Linked DNA regions of Macaca mulatta. The protein of the gene in region 2 interacts with the protein of the main gene of each other region in a pairwise test. Links are inferred from orthologs where the notes say so. Each region holds a gene or a part of one and is shown on either strand. Other genes may lie near its edges.

Evidence for each region.
Region 1: the proteins of STX16 (region 2) and VAMP5 interact in binary tests that used the Homo sapiens proteins (3 or more experiments, as listed by UniProt). The two-hybrid records come from large-scale screens. The link is inferred for Macaca mulatta from reciprocal best matches to the Homo sapiens genes STX16 and VAMP5.

The regions. Positions count from the first base shown.
Region 1 is NC_133418.1:38,803,560-38,813,267, reverse strand, and holds the start of VAMP5 (vesicle-associated membrane protein 5), read left to right. Parts: upstream 1-3,057; 5' UTR 3,058-3,128; coding exon 3,129-3,131; intron 3,132-9,708. Other genes in the region: VAMP8 (vesicle-associated membrane protein 8), read left to right, coding at 216-356. UniProt on the Homo sapiens protein: May participate in trafficking events that are associated with myogenesis, such as myoblast fusion and/or GLUT4 trafficking.
Region 2 is NC_133415.1:111,439,446-111,449,314, forward strand, and holds the start of STX16 (syntaxin-16), read left to right. Parts: upstream 1-4,964; 5' UTR 4,965-5,701; coding exon 5,702-5,782; coding exon of another isoform or gene 5,783-5,845; exon of another isoform or gene 5,846-5,913; intron 5,914-9,869. UniProt on the Homo sapiens protein: SNARE involved in vesicular transport from the late endosomes to the trans-Golgi network.

The sequences.
Region 1 (9,708 bases), on a different chromosome or scaffold from region 2:
CAGCTAGTCAGGAGGCTGAGGCAGGAGAATCACTTGAACCCAGGAGGTGGAGGCTGCACTGAGCCAAGATCGAACCACTGCCTGGGCAACAGAGCAAGACTCCATCTCAAAAAAACAAAAACAAGAAAGTTTGGCCTGTGGGTTGTACTTGTACTTATACTCTTGTTCCAGTGGGAGGAGCCACTGGGTCACTCACTCTGCCTTTTCCTCAACAGTCTGAGCACTTCAAGACGACATCGCAGAAGGTGGCTCGGAAATTCTGGTGGAAGAATGTGAAGATGATTGTCCTTATCTGCGTGATTGTTTTTATCATCATTCTCTTCATTGTGCTCTTTGCCACTGGTGCCTTCTCTTAAGTAATAGGGAACCTCTCCCACCTGCCCTTCTCTTCAGGGACAACCCTCTGTAAATGGGTGCCAAGAGGGTCTCCTTTCCTGTCCTCCTCTACAGAGAATGCTGCTCGGTCCTCCTACCCCTCTTCCCGAGGCCCTCCTGCCGTGTTGTATGCCCCAGAGGGTAACTTGGTCCCCCAGAAGGAGAGAAAAAAGAGAGCTGGACTGCGGATGCATTTCATGGGTCCTTAGAGTGGGCTGGAGAGACCTAGAGGGCCCAGCATGTGGCTGGGAAACTGCTGGTGGCCAGTGGGCAATAAAGACCTTTCAGTATCCCTATATGTGTGAGTCACTTTCTCTCTTCCCATTTTGCCTTTGGCTTTTCTATTTCTTTTCTTCCCAAGGATACCTTCTGGCTGAAATTCTCTCGTTTGAGGTCCAAGTGGTTTGAAGGGCAAAGAGTGTATGTTTGGAGAAGAAAGATGTCTTTCTTTATTCCTCCCGGTTCCATTCATTGTCACAGGTCTCAAGAACAAGAATTTTCTGGGAGTCTTGGCATATGGAAAATTCAAAACCTTCATAGCATTTTGGGGTGGTACGCAAGATTTTTAAGTGTTCCCATTGGGTCCTGCCATGGCCCTGTAGTACTGTTCTTCTGGAATTGTTAGCTGAGGCATGAAGCCTACCCGGACAGGGTGTTTAAGAGCTGCTTGAAGGCCTCCTGCCTCTTCCACCAGAGCCATCTCTCTTCAACGACCGTGTAGTCTAGAGCCGAGGGGTGGAGGAAATGGACTGCTGTTCCTTTCCTTGTGCTTTGTATGTTCATGTTCTATTTGTCTTTTCTCTGTCCTTGTCTTCTGGGACTTAGCAAGGCCTCTGGGTCTTAGTTATCCCAAGGGGGCAAGCATCTCTCCTCCGCATCCCATGGCTGGGCATAGTCAGTCAGTGTCACAGGACAGGGCCAATGGCCCTCCTTCCCCTCCGTGCACAATGAGCCTTTCTGTCTTCAGGCCCCCCTCCTCCCTACCAGGTTCCACTATCACTGTTACTTTTTCCAGTGCCCAGTCTGCCTTGGTTTGCAGGGAGGGTTCTTGCTATCTCTGTTCCTGTTTCCTCTACAGGTTTTCCAGCATTGGAAACAACCTGTTGTCAGGAGGAAGGGGAAGGGTTGAGAGTCAGGATTTGGGACTAGATTGGCAAGTCAGGCTCTGGAAGAATCAGGCTCTGAAGCAGGGAGGAGGAAAGGTCAGAAAAGACCCTTATGAGATTTTTATTTTTATTTTTTCAGGGATAGGATCTTACTCTGTTGCCCAGGTTGGAGTGCAGTGGTGTGATCATGGCTTACTGTAACCTCCACCTCCTGGGCTTTAGAGATCTTCCTGCTTCAGCCTCCCTTGTAGCTGGGACCACAGGTGTGTGCTACCACACCTGGCTAATTTTTGTATTTTTAGTAGAGACATGGTCTCACTATGTTGCCCAGGCTGGTCTCAAACTCCTGGGTTCAAGCAATCCTACTGCCTTGGCCTCCCAAAGTGCTGGAATTACAAGTGGGAGCCACCGTGCCCGGCCTTGGGGTAGTCTTTGCTACATATATTAATCCTTTCTCTCCTGGATTCAAGGTGTAAGGAACTGAAGTGAAGCTTCTGCCTTGGGACCCAGGCTGTCCAAGGTGGGGGGTGAGGGTCTGTGAAACCCTCTTGGTCTGGGACTTCTGTATTCACAGAGGCTTAGCCCCAGAGAGGGAAACTTTCAACTCTGTTGGTCAAGAGATACCTTATTTGAGGGACTAGGCCCAGTGGCTCACACTTGTAATCCCAACACTTTGGAAGCCTGAGGCAGAAGAACTGCTTGAGGCCAGGAGTTCGAGACCAGCCTGGTCAACATAGTGAGACCCTGTCTCTCTCTCTCTCTTAAAAAAAAAAAAAAAGAGGGACCTTATTTTAAGATGTCTGAGGCAGCTTGGAGTAGTGGAGAACAGGTAGCTGGTGGTTTCTCTGCAGCAGTGAGAGGAGAGGATGGGTAGATTCGGCTCAGGAAGGCTCTGAAGTGGTAGCAGACACACCACCCTCCCCCATCTTCTGACTGAGGAGCAGGTGCATGGCAGGTGCATGCCAGCACAGAGCTGCACTTGCCCTCATGGTGAGGAGAGACATACAGAAAGGCTAGAGCTAGTACTTTGCCCATGTGGGGCTGCTTTCTTTTTGAATAGAGGCGAAAGTCACATAACATACAGTTTATTATTTTAAAGTGTACAAATCAGAAACATGTATTCAGAATGTTGTGTAACCACCACTTGTCTTTAGTTTCAAAACTTTGGGGGGGCCTGTTTTTGATTCTGGGTGAGATGCACTCACCAAGGTGACAAAGACCCTACCTGGCTTGTTCATGGTGTCTCCAGGACCTAGCGTGGTGCCTGACCGTGACACTCATAGGGTGTTTGTTGAGTGAATGAATGATGCCTCTTCAGCTAAACCCGACCTAGGAGACTCCAGGGCTCACTCCACTGTGCCCATTCCACAGATCCGGCCCCGAGGTGTGCCCGTTCACCCAGCTGAGGTGTCACCCGAATTCAGGCTCCTGGGGCCCGGGAGGAGGCGACTCTACGGACCCGGGTCGCTGTGGCCCATCGCTTTCGATTTGACTCAGTTTCGGTCGCCACTCGCGGAAGGCGCGCCCCCCGCCCTCTCTCGGCGGCCCGCCCTGCCCCGCCCCTGCGCTTCCTCCGGGACCGCTGGCACTGCGGCCACTCAGCCGGCAGAGAAGCCGGGAGCGGGCGAGGCGTCGGCGGCAGCGGCGATGGTGAGGGCCCGGGCGGGGCCGGCCAGCCCTGCGACGGGCAGAGGGCGAGTGGCGAGGGTGGGAGAAAGGAGTCCGAAGTCCACGGGCCGGGGCGTAACCTAGGGCCCATGCGGGTCAGACCCGAGGCGGTGACCACGGCCGGAGCAGGATGGGGCGGACCCTCCACTCCCCGCGGGCTGCCTGGGAGGGAAATGCTTGAGCCCCGTCCTGGCTGCACCGCGCAGAGCGAGCGGGGCCCGGGCTCCCCATTCTCCTGAAGCGAAGCGGTTAGGAGCACCGACTTTGGAGGACTCCGGGCTGGGATCCCAGCTCTGTGACCCGGGGCGAGTCACTTAACCTCCCTGAGCCTCCTTTTCCGTATCTGTGAAGTGGGGTCAGTAATACCTGCCTTGTTGGGTCCTTGCGAGGTTAAAGGAGACACAATGGCAGAGACCCGCCTGGCACTCAGAACCCACTGCTAAGAAGTGGTAGGAAATGTAATGACCTCGTCAGCCCTTTCCGCAGCTGTGAGGAGCCAAGCCTGGCTCAGGAGTTGGAAACTTGAGCAGATGGGGTGGCAGAGGCCATTCCAGCCCCATGGCAGGGTGTTGGAGGCCTAACTCCTCCCCTAGAGAAAGAGAAAGGGAGATGTTTACTCTGAAAGTTCCACTGAAGTTATCAGAGTGTGGCACAGGCCTGACTCCCTGCTAACCTCTACCTAGTGACACATTCCTGAGTTGAGTCACCCCCCACTCCTGCTGCATATCCTGGCCTCTGTCCTCACTTGCCATCTCCAAGGCGAAGATGTCAGGAACAGCTGGTGCCAGTTTCCCCCTTTCCCTAGGGCTCCTGGGAAGATGGACTGGGCAGGAAGTAGGCTTGGTGCTTTAAGATTTTGCCTTGGAGAAACTGACAGAGGTGTGATGGATGTGGCCTGGCTAGGGGTCAATGCCTGGATGGCTTCATCTCCAGGGAATTTGGAGGCAGGAAGAGGAAGTGGGGCAGGAAGGTAGCACTGAGCTCTGAGGCCATGCCGGGAAGCTGGGGAAGGCTCTGAGAATAGGGCAGAGCCCAGAGCCCACTTCAGGGTGTGCAGGGCAAGGGGTCAGGCAGGGGTAGGGGTGGGCTTCAGTCGGCCCTTAGCTCTTGGGGAGAAGCTCCTGAAGTGAAAGGTGAAGGCAGGATAATTTATTGGGGGACAAGGGTACTGGGAAACCTGGGGATTCTCACGGGTACATTTGAGGCAGTCTGTGGAGGAGAGCCTGGGGAGGTCGCTCCTATACCCATCCATCTCCTAGCCTCTTCCTGTTTCTTCTTTCACTATTGCCCCTTTCTCACCCTAGCTCTTTCCCTTCCTTCCACCCATCCCCTTTCCCTCCCTGGTCCTTCTTCCTTTTACTTTTCTTTTATTCTCTATGACTCATTCAACCAACAAGGATTTCTTGGGCATGTCCTTCATGCCAGCATGGTGACAAGTATAGGGGACAGAGCAGGAACAAAGTAGGATAGGAAAGATGGAAATAGAATGAGTAATTACCTGAATTCATTAATCTTGTAGATGATCCTCTCTCCAAAGAATGTGTGTGTTGAGCCACGGGCCTCCCTCATATGCACACAAATTAAGTTGGTAGCATCAAAAGGTTTGGTGGTTCTTTAGCCAGTCAGCTAAAGTGTTTGACCTCCTTGTACCTGTATCTAATTTAGCACACCGGTTATGAATGTGATGCCTGGAGTCTGTGTTGGTTCAACTCCCAGATCTACTTACTGGCTCTGTGATCTTATACAGGTGATTTAACACCTCTGAGCCAAAGTTTCCTATAAAACTGGGAAAAGGCCAGGCGCAGTGGCTCACACCTGTAATCCCAGCACTTTGGGAGGCCAAGGCGGGCAGATCACAAGGTCGAGAGTTCAAGACCAGCCTGGCAAGGATGGTGAAACCCTGTCTCTACTAAAAATATAAAAAAATAGCCGGGTGTGGTGGCACGTGCCTGTAGTCCCAACTACTCGGGAGGCTGAGACAGGAGACTCACTTGAACCCGGGAGGTGGAGGTTGCAGTGAGCTGAGATTATGCCATTGCACTCCAGCCTGGGTGACAGAATTAAGACTGTGTCTCAAAACAAAAACAAACAAGCAAACAAAATAACTGGGTTAATAATATGGTCTTCAATGGGTTGTTGGGTGAAGATTAAATGAGGCAGAGCAAATGAACAGCAAGCAGCATAGTGCTTAGCTCAGAGTATGTGCCCATTGAATGGTGGCTGTTATTCTTGCTCAAGATGTAAAACCTCAACAGCCTGCAGTGCCAGATGAAAATAAACTAGATGCTGGTTACCAAAGGCCCATGTAAAGTTCTGAGCTACGGGTTAGAAACAATTATGTGTACTATGTGTACAAGTTTGCCACAGGGAAGAGCTTGCTTGGCTGTGCATTTTGTAAAACGAAGAGGTTTTATTGACCACATGTATTACACAATTTTTTTTTTTTTTTTTTGAGATAGAGCCTCGCTCTGCATCCAGGCTGGAGTGCAGCGGCACAATCTAGCTCACTGCAACCTCTGCCTCCCAAGTTCAAGTGATTCTCCTGCCTCAGCCTCCCAAGTAGCTGGGATTACGGGTGCCTGCCACCACGCCTGGCTAATTTTTGTATTTTTAGTAGAGACGGGGTTTCACCATATTGGCCAGACTGGTCTCGGACTCCTGACCTTGTGATCTGCCCGCCTCGGCCTCCCAAAGTGCTGGGATTTCAGGCGTGAGCCACCACGCCTGGCCATATTGTACAATTCTTGAGATCTGACTGCTAAAAAAAAAAAAAAAAAAAACACAAACCGGAGCTAGGGAAATGTGGGCCACATCAATAATAATAGCCCTTATTTATTGAGCATTTAGTATGTGCCAGGCGTTGTGCTAAGCTTTTGATTTACATCACAAATGAATATGTCACATAATCCTTAGCTAACATTGTAAGAGAAGTCATTATTATCAGCACTTTACAGGAGAGGAAATGGAGGTCAGAAAGGTCATATCCTCAGTCTCAGTCACTCAGCTAGTGAGTGGCAGAAGCAGGATTTCAACAGAGGGGTGCAAAGCAGAGCTCTACTCCTAGTCTCTGAGCTGAGTGCTGACTTAGGGAGGCGATGTTATACCAGTACTTGCGCCCATTTATCTGACGACAGTTAGAACAGAGTTTCTTGGATACTAGACAGGAGACAGGGAGACAAGGAGAGTTAGGATAGGGAGGTGTTTTTTGTTTTTGTTTCTTTGTTTTTTTTGAGACAGGGTCTCACTCCTTCGCCCAGGCTGGAGTGCAGTGGTGCAATCTTGGCTCACTGCAGCCTCTGCCTCCCAGGTTCAAGCAATTCTCCTGCCTCAGCCTCCCGAGTAGCTGGGACTACGGGCAGGCACCACTTTGCCCGGCTATTTTTTGTATTTTTTGGTAGAGGCGTGATCCGCCCACCTTGGCTTCCCAAAGTCCAGGGATTACAGGCATGAGCCACCGTGCCTGGCCCAGATGGTGTGGTTTTGAGAACTACATTTTCAAAGCAGGAATCAAAGAGATTGAGCCCAGAAAAACCTGAAAGGTTTGAGTGTCATAGAGGGGTTATTCTGTACAGGGGGCAACAGTCTGTCAAGAACATTTCCTGTGTAACTGCCACTCTCTGGCAATGACACAACTGCTCCCCGCTTGCTCTGGCTCAAAATTCCAAGCCCTGCAGGCTTCTGGCCTCAGGTCTCAGAAATGCCTCTATCACCCTTCTTCCTTTCTCCACGCTCTGCTCGTCACCTCTCTCTGTCCTGGTGGGCATCTCCTCACAGCCTTGCTGATGGTACTTCTCCACCCCTCTGGCTGGCCTCTCTGCCGGTTTCTTACTTCTATCCATGCCTGTCTACCACCAATAGAGAAATTATCCTGAAGCACTTCTTGACTGTCACCCTTGACTCAAAAACCCACACTAGCTCTTAAGTTTTATCACTCACTTGGAGCCGGTCTTCTCTACCTGACCTTTTCTGCCTTCTGTAGCCCCACCCTGTCCCGCCCATCCTCTGCCTGGTCCTCACTGTCAGAGTGTATCCCTCTCTCTCAGTGCCAGAATGTCCCAGCTCCATGCCATCCTTCAAGGGGTCAACCCCCGCAATGGCACCCTCTCTGTGGCAGCTCCGACACTTACTATCTGTATCACACAGTGTAACTCTTTCCTCTTCTCTAATTGTATTACATATGTATTTTCCCCAGGGCAAAGTGGTCTCTTTAAGAATAGGCACAGTTAGGCCAGGCATGATGGTTCATGCCTGTAATCCCAGCACTTTGGGAGGCTGAGGTGGGAGGACTGCTTGAGCCCAAGAGTTCAAGACCATCCTGGGCAACATAGGAAGACCCCATCTTTAAAAATATAGGCACAATTGGCTGGGCGCGGTGGCTCACGCCTGTAATCCCAGCACTTTGGGAGGCCGAGGCAGGCGGATCACAAGGTCAGGAGATCGAGACCATCCTGGCTAACACCGTGAAACCCCGTCTCTACTAAAAATACAAAAAATTAGCCGGGCGCGGTGGCGGCGCCTGTAGTCCCAGCTACTTGGGAGGCTGAGGCAGGAGAATGGTGGGAACCCGGGAGGCGGAGCTTGCAGTGAGTTGAGATCTGGCCACTGCACTCCAGCCTGGGCGACAGAGCAAGACTCCGTCTCAAAAAAAAAAAAAAATATAGGCACAATTCATTCAGGAACTGTTTATCACATATCTGCTGTCTGCGGACATTATGCTGAGTTACCGTGTGGCATAAGGCAGTGTGACCCTTGTCCTCTTGCTTACCTCCTTCCAGGGTCCCTGGAGCTTTATTTCTCACCGTGCTAGCAGAGACCTGTGGATATAGGCAGGGTCCTTTTTCCTCTGGTTGAGTGGGGGCCAAAGAGGGCCCGAGACTTGAGTCTAAGGCCTCTGTGTTCCCTGGAGTGAATGTGTTCTTTTAGGCCTGGGTCCATCTTGGCTCCAGGCAGGCCTGGCTTTGCACTGGGGGAGACTGGTCCAGATTACAGCTGGAAGCACAGCCAGCCCTCTGGAGAATGTGACCCCAATATCACCCCTTGCTGAAGAATAAGGTAACAACAGCTGTAGCATTTAGAATATGTATATATAAAAAAAGATAATATCCAGTATTTTCCCTGTCTCTACCAGTGACTCTTATTTTCGAGTCTTTATCCATTCTCAAGTTTTTGCTTTGGACTCTTTATTTTTATTTTTTTATTTTTATTTTTTGAGATGGAGTCTCACCCTGATGCCCAGGCTAGAGTGCAGTGGCGCAATCTCAGCTCACTGCAAGCTCCGCTTCCCGGGTTCACGCCATTCTCCTGCCTCAGCCTCCCGAGTAGCTGGGACTACAGGCGCCCGCCACTACGCCCAGCTAATTTTTGTATTTTTTAGTAGAGATTGGGTTTCACCATGTTAGCCAGGATGGTCTCGATCTCCTGACCTCGTGATCTGCCTGCCTCGGCCTCCCAAAGTGCTGGGATTACAGGTGTGAGCCACCGCGCCTGGCCTTGGACTATTTAATTTTATTTTTTGCTTTGTTTTGTTTTGTTTGCTGAGACGGAGTCTTGCTCTGTTGCCCAGGCTGGAATGCAGTGGTGTGATCTCGGCTCACTGCAACCTCCACCACCCAGGTTCAAGTGATTCTCCCACCTCAGCCTCCCAAGTAGCTGGGATTACAGGCACGCACCACCATGCCTGGCTAATTTTTGTATTTTTAGTAGAGACAGGGTTTCACCATGTTGGCTGGGCTGGTCTCGAACTCCTGGCCTCAAGTGATCTGCCTGCCTCAGGCTCCTAAAGTGCTGGGATTACAGGCGTGAGCCACCGTGCCCAGCCTGCCTTGGAGTATTTGAATGTGGGGAAGTTCAAATGATTGAATGACAGAGACTTGTTGAATGCTATAGTAGTAATAATAGTGATGATGGTTGACTCAAGAAAAGGTGAGAGTGCAGTTTCCCTGCTCTCTTCGTTGTTCCTCTGTGTTTCCTGCTTACTGCTTCCTCCAGCCTATGAGTGCACCCTCCCCTACAGTGGTTTGCCTGACCTCTCTTGAAGCAGGTTGCTTTTCTAGCTCGTGGGTAAATATTGACCTATTTGGGTTTCAAATGCCTGCCCCTCGAAACTCATGCAGGGCTAGAAAAACATGCTGGGAGAACATCCCTTGAGAATAAGAGTTGCTTTTGGTTAGGCTGTATCGTAATTGGCCCACTCACTGAGTCCTTGCTTGCAATGGTCAGCACTGTGCTGGCCTCCTGGTGGGATGGTGGTGGACAAAGGCAGGGCACTGCTCCCTGCCCTCCCTCTGGGAGTTTGTGGTCCAGCTGGGGAGATAGGACTCATACACTGGGAATTCTTGGAGGCTGTGTACCAAGCAGCTGCAAGGAACCTAAAGGAGGATTCTTGCCTGAGTAGGAGGTGGCTCTCTGTGACCACCAGATCTCTTCTAACACTTAAGTTTTCTGGTTTTAAGTGGAATTCAGTCAAGTGCCAAAATGTCTGTTGTAGACAATGGGTAACGTGGGCTGGCAGAAAACGAAGCTTGCCCTTCTTGTAAGGAGGGGAAGGGAACAGGGATGG
Region 2 (9,869 bases):
CCCCACACCGTGGACAGGGTAGGAGGATTACTTTCTATTGAGTGGTCCGAGACAAGAGTGGTGGGAAGGAGCCAGTTATTTGAAGAAGCCAGGAAGGAGAGCAGAGCAGGTGCTAAGGAGGAGTGAGGAATAGTGAGAAGGCTAGTGTGGCTGAAAAGGGGTGAGTGAGGGGGACAGGGAACTGCCCTAATCTCTCCACCCATTTTGAGTCTTGACCATCTGGTATTCTCTAGCACTTAATATATTTAATCTCACCTTTTGTGCATCAAGCCATCCATTCATCCATTCCGCAAACATTTATCACACCTGACAGTGGGGAGGCGCTAAGTCTTGAAGGAAGGGTTTACCAAGCACAAGGGGCAAGACACATCCCCCGCCACTACCCCCACCAGGCAGAGAAAGGTCTGTGAGCCAAGTCCTGGAAAGAAAAAAGCTCACCATTTGGGTGGGGCCTGTTGGGCAGGGCTTTGAATACCCAGGGGTACTCCACCATGTGGAGAGCATAGAAAACCTAAATGCAGAACTCCAGAAAATACTGATATATGGGGGAAAAAATTGTAATGAAATCCATGATTCTGGAATAAGTCAGATCTAGTCTTATACTATATTCTAATACAGCCAAGTGGTAGCAGGAACTGAAGGTTTAAGAGAAAGTGAGAAGAGAAACACTTAAGATGGAGACTATTCTATTAATTAGCTGCTGCTTCTTTTTTTTCTTTTTCTGACAACCAAGTAAACACCATCATTAGTTAATATTAGTGATGCCCAGCTTGGTTCAACTTAGACAGCACCTGTTTTCTGCTGAGTGTCATTTGGATTGACTGGCATAGGCCAGAGGGAGCTGTTTCAGGGCCTCAATCAGGCAGTGACATGATCAGATTTGTGCTTTGGAAAGGTCACTGTGGCTGCAGGATGAGGAGGGAAGAGACGGGTGGCTGCTAGCAGACTGCTGGAAAAATGTACAAGATGAGAGCCAGAATTTGGGCAGAGACAGTGGAGATACAAATTCCCTGAAAGCAAAAGTTTTGCTCTGTTTCATTCTTTTAGCAGTGCCCAGCAAGAGCTAGGCACAGCCACTGGTAGATTTTTAGAAATGCCTACTGTATTGAATTGTCTGGTACTAAAAGTTACGGGACTCCAGACAAAACAAAACTGTTGCCTCTCTCCGGAGTCTCCCTTCTTGGGAGAGGCATCATAGCTGAAGACAGACCCAGGTAGGGAGTTTTCTGTTGTTGGAAATACTCAAGGTTTTGAGGAACCGTTTGGAGACGTAGAACACACAACTCCTGTTACCTGAACCTGGCCCGTATCTGTCTGTTAGATCTGTGCAGACAAGACATGTGTTAGGCTTGGGGGCTTTTGCTGCTTGATAAACAAACAATCATCTGTCTTTCTATAGGTGGGAGAAAGGCCAATGTTAAAAGGTGTCTTTGAGACTGTTTAGCACCCTCTTCCACATGAGCGTGCACCACAGACACATCTGGATTCCCAAGGTCCAGAACAAGAAGCTCAGAAATGTGCTTAGATTTCCAAGTGTTCAGTTCTCAATATCATGCCATTCTCTTTGGAGTTTATGATGCCTTCCAGGGAGAGCAGAGCCCACGTGAGCTTTCCAACAGCAAGACTACTGTTGTGATAAATCACATTGCCCATTTGTGGAGCACTTACTCTATGCTGAGGTTGCATAAGGGCTTCACAAATCCTATTTCATTTAAATTGTTTTCACCAAAGGTGTGTGTCCCACTGCTGACCTGTTGTGCTAACCATCCCCTCTCAGTACTTGAAAACCTGCTCCTGCCCAAGTCATGGCCTGGCTTCACTGGGGTTCCCTTCTGTACTGAATGAGATGACAACAATGAAACACTTGTCCCCAAAAGTGACTTATTGGATTCGTTGGCAGAATGTTAGAAAGTGGGTATGAAGCCCAAGAAACAGGACGCTGAGCCTCACCAAGCCCAAGGAGTATGACGGAATCTGAGCCCAGGCCAAGAATGAGTCACAATGAAAGCTTTTAAAATGTAAAACCATCAACCTAGATTTCAATTCCAAGGAAACACATACTTGGCCATCGGGGAATGCTTTAAAAAAAAACAAAAACAAAAAATCAAGCTTAAGTTACTTGACAGGAAAATAAAACAGCCAACGAACATTCAAACATAATGATTTACATCCTTCCCCAACTCCCTTCCAGTGTGGGTCAGGGCGAACACGGACCATGGACGTGACTGGAGCCAGGAGTGCATGTCCTCTCTGGGTTTCCTCTTCATTAACACTATTTCAGGCACACAATCCCATACCTAAACACAGCCTGGTTAGAGCTGCACGGTGCTACCTTTGGGCTGTTATGCCAATTTCTTGGATTTTCATGACCTCCCTGCTGTTGGGCTCTTGAGTTGCTTGGGGTGGCTGTTTTGGGAATGCGAGGGTTTTTCTTCCGTTATTTATGTGTGCAAGCAGTGTTCATTTCGCTCAAAGAAATGGAAGCTTGATTGATTTCCTAAATGTAAGAATGAGATTGTCCTGTAATAAATATTTAAGACTGACCAGGAAAGGCGACCACCATCTGCTTAAACACAAGACCAGGAATTATTCTGTTAAGCTTCCTGAACGGAGGGAATGAATGAATAACCATCCTATACAATATTTGCTCAGCACCTGGTAGTTTACAAAGAGTTTTCACTTATCTTATTTGATCTTCACAATAACCCCAGAGAAGTAGACAGGGCACGGATTACGAGGATTACGAAAAACCCACATTTTTTTCTTTCTTTCTTAACAGATAAGGGCTCTAAAGGCTTAAAGCCACTCGAGGGAGGTCAGAGAGTTTGGGGACTAAATCTCAGGTCTCTCATTCATTCATGCACATATTTAAAAAATATTTATCCGGAGCCTGTTCCGAGCCAGATGAGACGGCAGTGGGTACAAAGATGAATAAAACACAGTCCCTGCGTAGGAAGATCACGTTCTAGCCTGGGGGAGAACGCCAGGAAAAGTAAACAAGACCCCCTGCTTTGCGAGGTGATGAGTGCTGGGGAGATAGGAACAGAGTGGGGACCATGTTTCTAATCTGATTCTCCTACCGACAACCAGCTCAGTTGTTATTTACAAATAACTGTCCCCTAAAGGGGCGAGGGGGGAGGCTTGGCCGTGCTGCTGGGGTCAGAGCTCGCGGGGGGATCTGCCGCGGGTGAGGACAGAACTCTCCCTTATTGGGCAAATATTTCCTGGGGCACCGCGCTAAGCACACAGGCTCCCCGAATTTCCCTCCCCAGGGCCTCTGTCTTTGGATGGCCTGTCAGCGCGCCCCTGCAGCCCCCAACCCGGCCCGCGAGGCGACCCGGTCCCCTGTCGCCCGAATCTTCCACCGCAGCGAAGCGTCCCCGGGCGAGTGCCCTGCTCTCCGCGCAGAGCGGAAGCTGGCGGGTTCTCACAGTGAACTCGCCCAGCCCCGCTCGCGGCTCTCTCGATTTTATGTGGGTTTCGTTGTATGCATTTTGTTATTTGCCTCAATGGATATGTTTGACATTAATTTTTAGTTCCACAACGAACGCGCGGGAACGTTCTCCGTGAGAGAAAAAGCACGGCGGGGGGCGGTTACCGGCGTTTTCCCCGGTCGTCTGGGGGTCCCGCACGCGCCCCGCGGGTGCCGCTGTCCGGCCGGGGTCCCTGGGTGAGCCGCGGGCACCGGCTTCGCGTCTCCCCGGGCGCGACTCCGCTTTGCAAGCGCTCAGCACACGGGAAACCCTCGGAAAACACACGTGTGTAAAGTTTGTTCCACGCAGAAACAAAGGACGCGTGGGGGCCGCTTCTGGGGCCTAGGTGTTTTGTTGGAACCCCACTCCGGAGTCCGGCCCGCACCCTCGCCCGGCAAGGGGAAGCCGGCCCTAGACAGACCGGGGGCCCGGAAGGCGCAGCAGCACAGCTCTGCGCCCTCGACCCGCTCCCGCCGAGCGCTGGGCCAGGCCCTTGGCCTCAGGCTTCCCGGGCGGCTCCGGGCCAGACCAGAGCCTCCGTCACTGGGCGCCCGCCTGTTTCTGGGCGCCGTGCTCGGGCCCGGGCAGCTGCTGCCCGACGCGGCCCCGAGGAGCCCCTGCACGAACCCCGCCGACTTGGCCCGGGACGGCAAGCCGGGGTGCTTAGGGCGCCCCGGGCCTGGCCAACGGCGAGAAACCGGGCCCGGGACGCCAGGGGCGCGGGGTGCTCCGGGCCAGGGCCCAGGCGGGGAACAGAGATATTTTTCGCGGGGACGGGGGCAGGAGGTGTCAAAGTTTTCGGGGAACTTTTCCACTTGAGATTCCACGACCCTGTAGTGCCACCTACAGAAAGCGGCAGCTGGGGAGGGCGGGCGCCCCCAACGACCCCCGACTGCCGGCGGCTGCGCGGCCAGACTGCCTGGAGCTTTCGCTTTTTTTTTTTTTTTTTTTTTTTTCCTTTTTTTTCCTCCTGGTTGTTTGTCGGGTACATCTTTTTTCAGAGTGGGAAAAAAAAAAAAAAAAAAAAAAAAAAAAAAAAAGCGAGCGCCAGCGCCTGCAGTAGAGCGTGCTCGGCCTGCAGAGGCAGTCGTCTCCAACTTTTCCTCTCCCGCTCCAACTCCCCGCGCCCAAAACTTCGGCTCTCGGGGAGCCCAAATTTGCCTGCCGCGCAACTTCCACTCTAATGCAGGGACCAAGGGCCCTGGCAGCGGTTTGCAGCCTGGGGGTCACGCTCCCCAGGCTCGGGCCTGCTCGCTGGCCTGCTCCTAGTGCCTAGACCCAGTTGGGGAAGGCGAAACGGGGCGCCCCAGGAGCACCCCGGGAGAGGGCGGAGCACTCTCGTGCCCCGGGGCAGGAGTGCAGGGAGCTCCCGCGCCCGGAACGTTGCAAGCAAGGCTTGCGAGAGTCGCAGGGGGGCACTCGCGAGGGACGGACAGGAAGAGGGCCAGGGGGGACGCCAGAACCCGGGACCACAGTACGGAAACGGCCCGGGGCTGAGCTGCAGTCAGATCCGGGGATGGAGGGAGCCGGAGAAGAGGAGTGAGAAGGCCGGGGAGGCAGGCCCTGCTGTCCTCCTGCAGGCCAGCAGCCTGCTGGCAGTGGAGGACCAGGCCACCCAGGAAAGGAAGGGGTCAGGAGGTCGGGCAGGGCCTCAGCAGGCTCAGACAAGGCCCCAGAAGGGAGCTGCAGGCGCCCTGGAGTCCAGGCCTCAGGCCTGGCTCCGGTTGTCCAAAGAGGGCCTAGGCCAGGCCTCTGGTGGGGAAACTGAGTCACAGCCAGACCTCAGGGCACGGCCTAGACGCTTACGAGCCAAGTTAGGGGTAGAGAGCAAAGACCTTTGGGGGTCTCAGGGAGTAGGGGGCTTCAGGGCCTCCCAGTCCAGAGCTGGATTGGCGAGTTAGACGCTTGTAGATCCAAGGTTGGATTGGGGTGGGGTCTCTGGAACGTTGGATCGCTACGCAAGGATTGGGGGGATTCAAGTGCTTAGAGATCGAAGTCGGTCCTGGGTAGGGGGAGTCAGACAATTGGAAAGCCTAGGTAGTTATTTGGGGAGGGGTCTCTACGCTTTGGCGAAGGGCACAGCTGCGTCTTTTTGGCTTGAAGCCTGAGGCCTTGTCGAGAAGCTTCTGTGAAAGGGTGGGCCGGCCGGGTCAAGAGAAAGAAAGTGAATAAACCAGGAATATAAGTGGGCGGGGGGCCCCTGAGAGGGGGGTCACAAAGGGTGAGACATGGCCACCAGGCGTTTAACCGACGCTTTCTTGTTGTTGCGGAATAATTCCATCCAAAACCGGCAGCTGTTAGCCGAGCAAGTGAGTAGTCACACCACCTCCAGCCCTCTGCATTCACGTAGCATTGCTGCGGTGAGTCTCCCGGCGGCCTCTCCGACACACGGACCGTGTGCACTGCGGCTCTGCCTGTTTGTCTGTCTCTGTCTGTCTCTCTGTTTAATAAAAGAAGATAAGAATAATAAGACTAAGGATAATAAGATCTCTTGGCTAGAATCAGGGGGCATCTGTAACCCTGGATGGGGAAAAAGCGGTGCTGTGAGGCCGCAGCTCCACCTCTGCCTTGTCTTCTCCTCACTTCCGCAGCACCCCCCCCGCGCATCCCCCGCCTTGGCGTCACTGCGCTACAGGCCGCCTGTAATTTACATATGTTTTAACGCTAACATTGGGAAGCATTGGGCCTTTCTGAAGCCTTTTTGTTTCGTTTTGTTTGAAGCTCCCCTCCCCCCAATAGTGAGCCTCAGTTCGGTCCTAATGGCTGGGTCGCGGGACCATGGACCCAAATCCTTGCAAATGAACGACTCCCTCTCCTAAAGAGGAAGCAGTTGTGTTGTTGTTTTGTTTTGTTTTGTTTTTCTGCCCGTTTTAACGGTCCCGCAGCCCTTGTGTGGCCTTGTTCCCTATGAATAATTGTTTCACTGTTCTTCCTGGGGGCTTGGGTTTCTAAGACTCGAGGTGCTAGCCTCTTCACTTTCCATTTCCCAGACGGGAAATTACGCTTTCCTCTCCATTCGAACTTTTTAAAAAAGCCTGAGGAGGTATATGTGAAAATTAACCCTCTAAAATAACATTTTTTTTTTTTTTTTTAAATTAGCCAGAACCTTTAGTTAGCCTAGCAGTAGTGTTTTTTAAGGGTGGTCCTGGAAAAATTACTGTTTCTGGTTTGTTTTTAATGGGGGCTACTTTTCCCTTTCTGAGCCTCAGTTTACTGCTCTGTTAAATAAGGGGCGAGTCTAGATGATCTATACCAGACAGTGATCGTTAGCTCGGTAATGTCTTCAATTGAAAAGTGAAGTTATGAAATTGGCTGTAGTTCAGGCTACCTGCTGTAGGGAGGCTAGGTTGGAATAGAAGCAGCGTTGGAACAGGCGGGTTATAGCCATCCCAGGACCACATTCTTGGGGATTATACTTGATAGGCAATTTTGGAAACCCCGCATTTATTTCACCTCCTAGGGACTGTATTGCCAGTTCATTTTTTTCTTTGTGACTTTATCTAAATGTTTCAGAAAAATTTTGCCATATGTCATGATTATCATGTCTACAAAGACAGTTTCTCCTTTTTGTAAGTCACAAGTGGAGAATGTCTTTGGCCATATAACTGATAGAAAAGTGATTTTAAGCCATATGAGCGGTTTCAGGAATAAAAGCATGTAAACTCAGGTCAAAAAGCCTAGAAACAGGGACAGAGTGTGTGTGAGATTTCAGTTAAGAAGTTGAAGGGTTTTACATTTATAAACTGAAAGGAATGACATTATATTGAAATAAATATAAAGATGTCTGGTAGCATAGAAACGGGCTAATTCTAGCGCTAATTTTGAAGAAAAAAATAAGCCAAGAAATTGAGTAGCAATTGGATGAATACAATTCCTTAATGGTACTTCAGTAATGTTAAATAAGAACTACATGTTCCTTAAATGACTTGATTTTTGTGCTGCCTCAAAAACAACTGAAACTGATATTAAGATTTCTAAGGTATCAGTTTTAATTGATTGAAAAACATATTGTTTATTTTTCAATTTTTAATCATTAAGGTTCAAAATACCCTGAACCTTTGGGTAACATGAGGGTTTTTTTTTTCCCCCATTTAGTCAGATGGTTTAAAAACTTAGTATCTGAGACAGGAAGCTTTTTAAAAGTCCTTCTCTGAATCAAACCACTTTAGAAAATTATTTTCTAAGTTAGGCAATTTAAAAAAAATATTTAAGCTAAGCAAAAGAACTAAAAATGGATAGCTAAAGTATACAGTTTGGAAAAATAGATACGTCAGGATATATACAGATATATTTACCTAACTCACAGTTTTTTGAAAATGATTTCTAAACCCAACTAAAAATATATTTCTAAGTCAGAACATTAAAAAGTGTTTTCTAAATGTCATGCCATTGAAAATGTTAATATTTGTATTAGTCTGACCATTTAAAATCTTTCTCAGATCATTGAAAGCAGCCATATCATTTAAAATATCCTTATAGTCAATTCATACTGTTTAAAAAATAGGTTTTGCATTCTAACAAACATAGTTTTCCTGAATTAAAATTTTAAAAGAAAACACAGATTTATATATTTTAGTTGTGTTTAAAAAAATGGCATGTCATAAATTTCTGAAGTATTTAGGGTTGAAGTGTTACGTCTTCACTTTGCTTACAGGTGATCTTACAAAATCTATTTCTGCACACAATACGGCGAAATGCTAACAAGACCACATAGAGGTTATGATTTTTTTCAGCTTATCTGGAAGTTGGAAAAGCTTTATAAACGTTTTGAAGCAAAAGCCACGTCTAACACAATTTGTAAAAACTGTATTGAGTAACTCTTAGCAATGCTTTTCACTGCATATCTAGCTCATAAAAAATTTAAAGCCTTGTTTCTGATTTGTAAATTTCAAAGCCATGTAGCAAACCAAACAATACCATATCTGTCAAATTTTGAATATGGACTAGGTATTAGGTGACATTAAAGAATTAATTAAATTAATTATAATACACTACATTTGCTAATTTTACTAGAGATGCCTACTAAAATGTTTAGTGGTGAAATGTCAAGGTGTCTTACCTAAATCCTTAAACCCCTCCAAAAACAGAGGAAGCAAATAAGGCAAATTGTTACTCATTGTTGAGTCTAGTGATGAGTATGTGGGGGACATTTTACGTAATTTTGTAGGCTTTTCTACATGTTTGAAAATTTTTAAATAGAAACTTAAAATAAGTATATTCGTTATAGTAAAGTAGAACAGTTAAAAAGAGACAATTTGTAAATATATATCTAACACTCAGGCAATTTGAAAGGAAGAAACTAAACCTGAGTTTAACTTAATTTAAAAAATAATAACCTGGAATTTTTTAAGTTTCTAATTAGAAGAAAAAGCTGTAGACTTTGATCTTGATGCATTTGATACCAACTAAAAATACACCTAAAATAACAGACTTAAAAAAAAAAATTATAACCCTGAATTTTGACATCTTTATTTCAGGAAAAAGCTGCAGAAATTAATTGCAGAGTAGTATATCTCTTACACCTCAAAGCAAAGCACACCTTTAGCCATGTCATGGCTTTAGCCATGTCATTCAAAAGATTTAAACATGCATTTTTTGCATCCTAGTTTGAGGGGAAAAACTAGAATTTGGTTGTTGTAGTGGGGTTATTGTGTGTACCTGTGCGTGCATACAGGGTTTTGCAGCATTCAGGCAAATACGTCAAATAAACAGGAATTTAAGGAGGATAGGCAGTGACCAGATAAACACAAAGCCTTAAGGGCCAGAAGGGACCTAAAGGTCATTTGGCCTAGTGTACCCGTTTGTGATAACCCCTTATGCCTGTCTTGTTTGGCCATGTTCTGTGACTATGATGGAAAATGCCAGCAGCTCCACGATTTTTACCACTAAAAAGTCTTTGCCTGTTTATCCCAACTGTTTGTGTCCTGGGGTCCTGCTTTTAGTTCTGTTCCTTCGGGTCTTCCTTCTGTCTGGTAACCCTGCAGCCTTGTTACCCAGAGTTCTTTCCAGGCTTAGCAGTCCCGGCTTAGAGTGGTTACGTTTCTTTCCTATAAGTGATGTTTAGTTTTTCTGTATCCTTTTTAAAGTTCAGCACCCAGAACTGAACAAAATTCTACTTTTTTTGTGTAATTAATTGTATTAATGTTAGTAAAACTGATTGTTAAAAACAGAGGGGTTTGACTTTATACACTCCTAACAAAATGCAGTTGTATTTCCCATGCATTTTGCTCTGGCCTCAGTTTTGAGTGCCCCATCACGTTCATGCCTCAGGGCAGCATGAAATAAAGGAAAGAGCACTGAGAATTGAATCTGAGAATTGAGGCCTAAATCCTGTTCTGCTGCAGGCTCAGAGTGTGTCCTTAGGCAAGCTTTTAATCTTTTTGGATATCTTTTGCC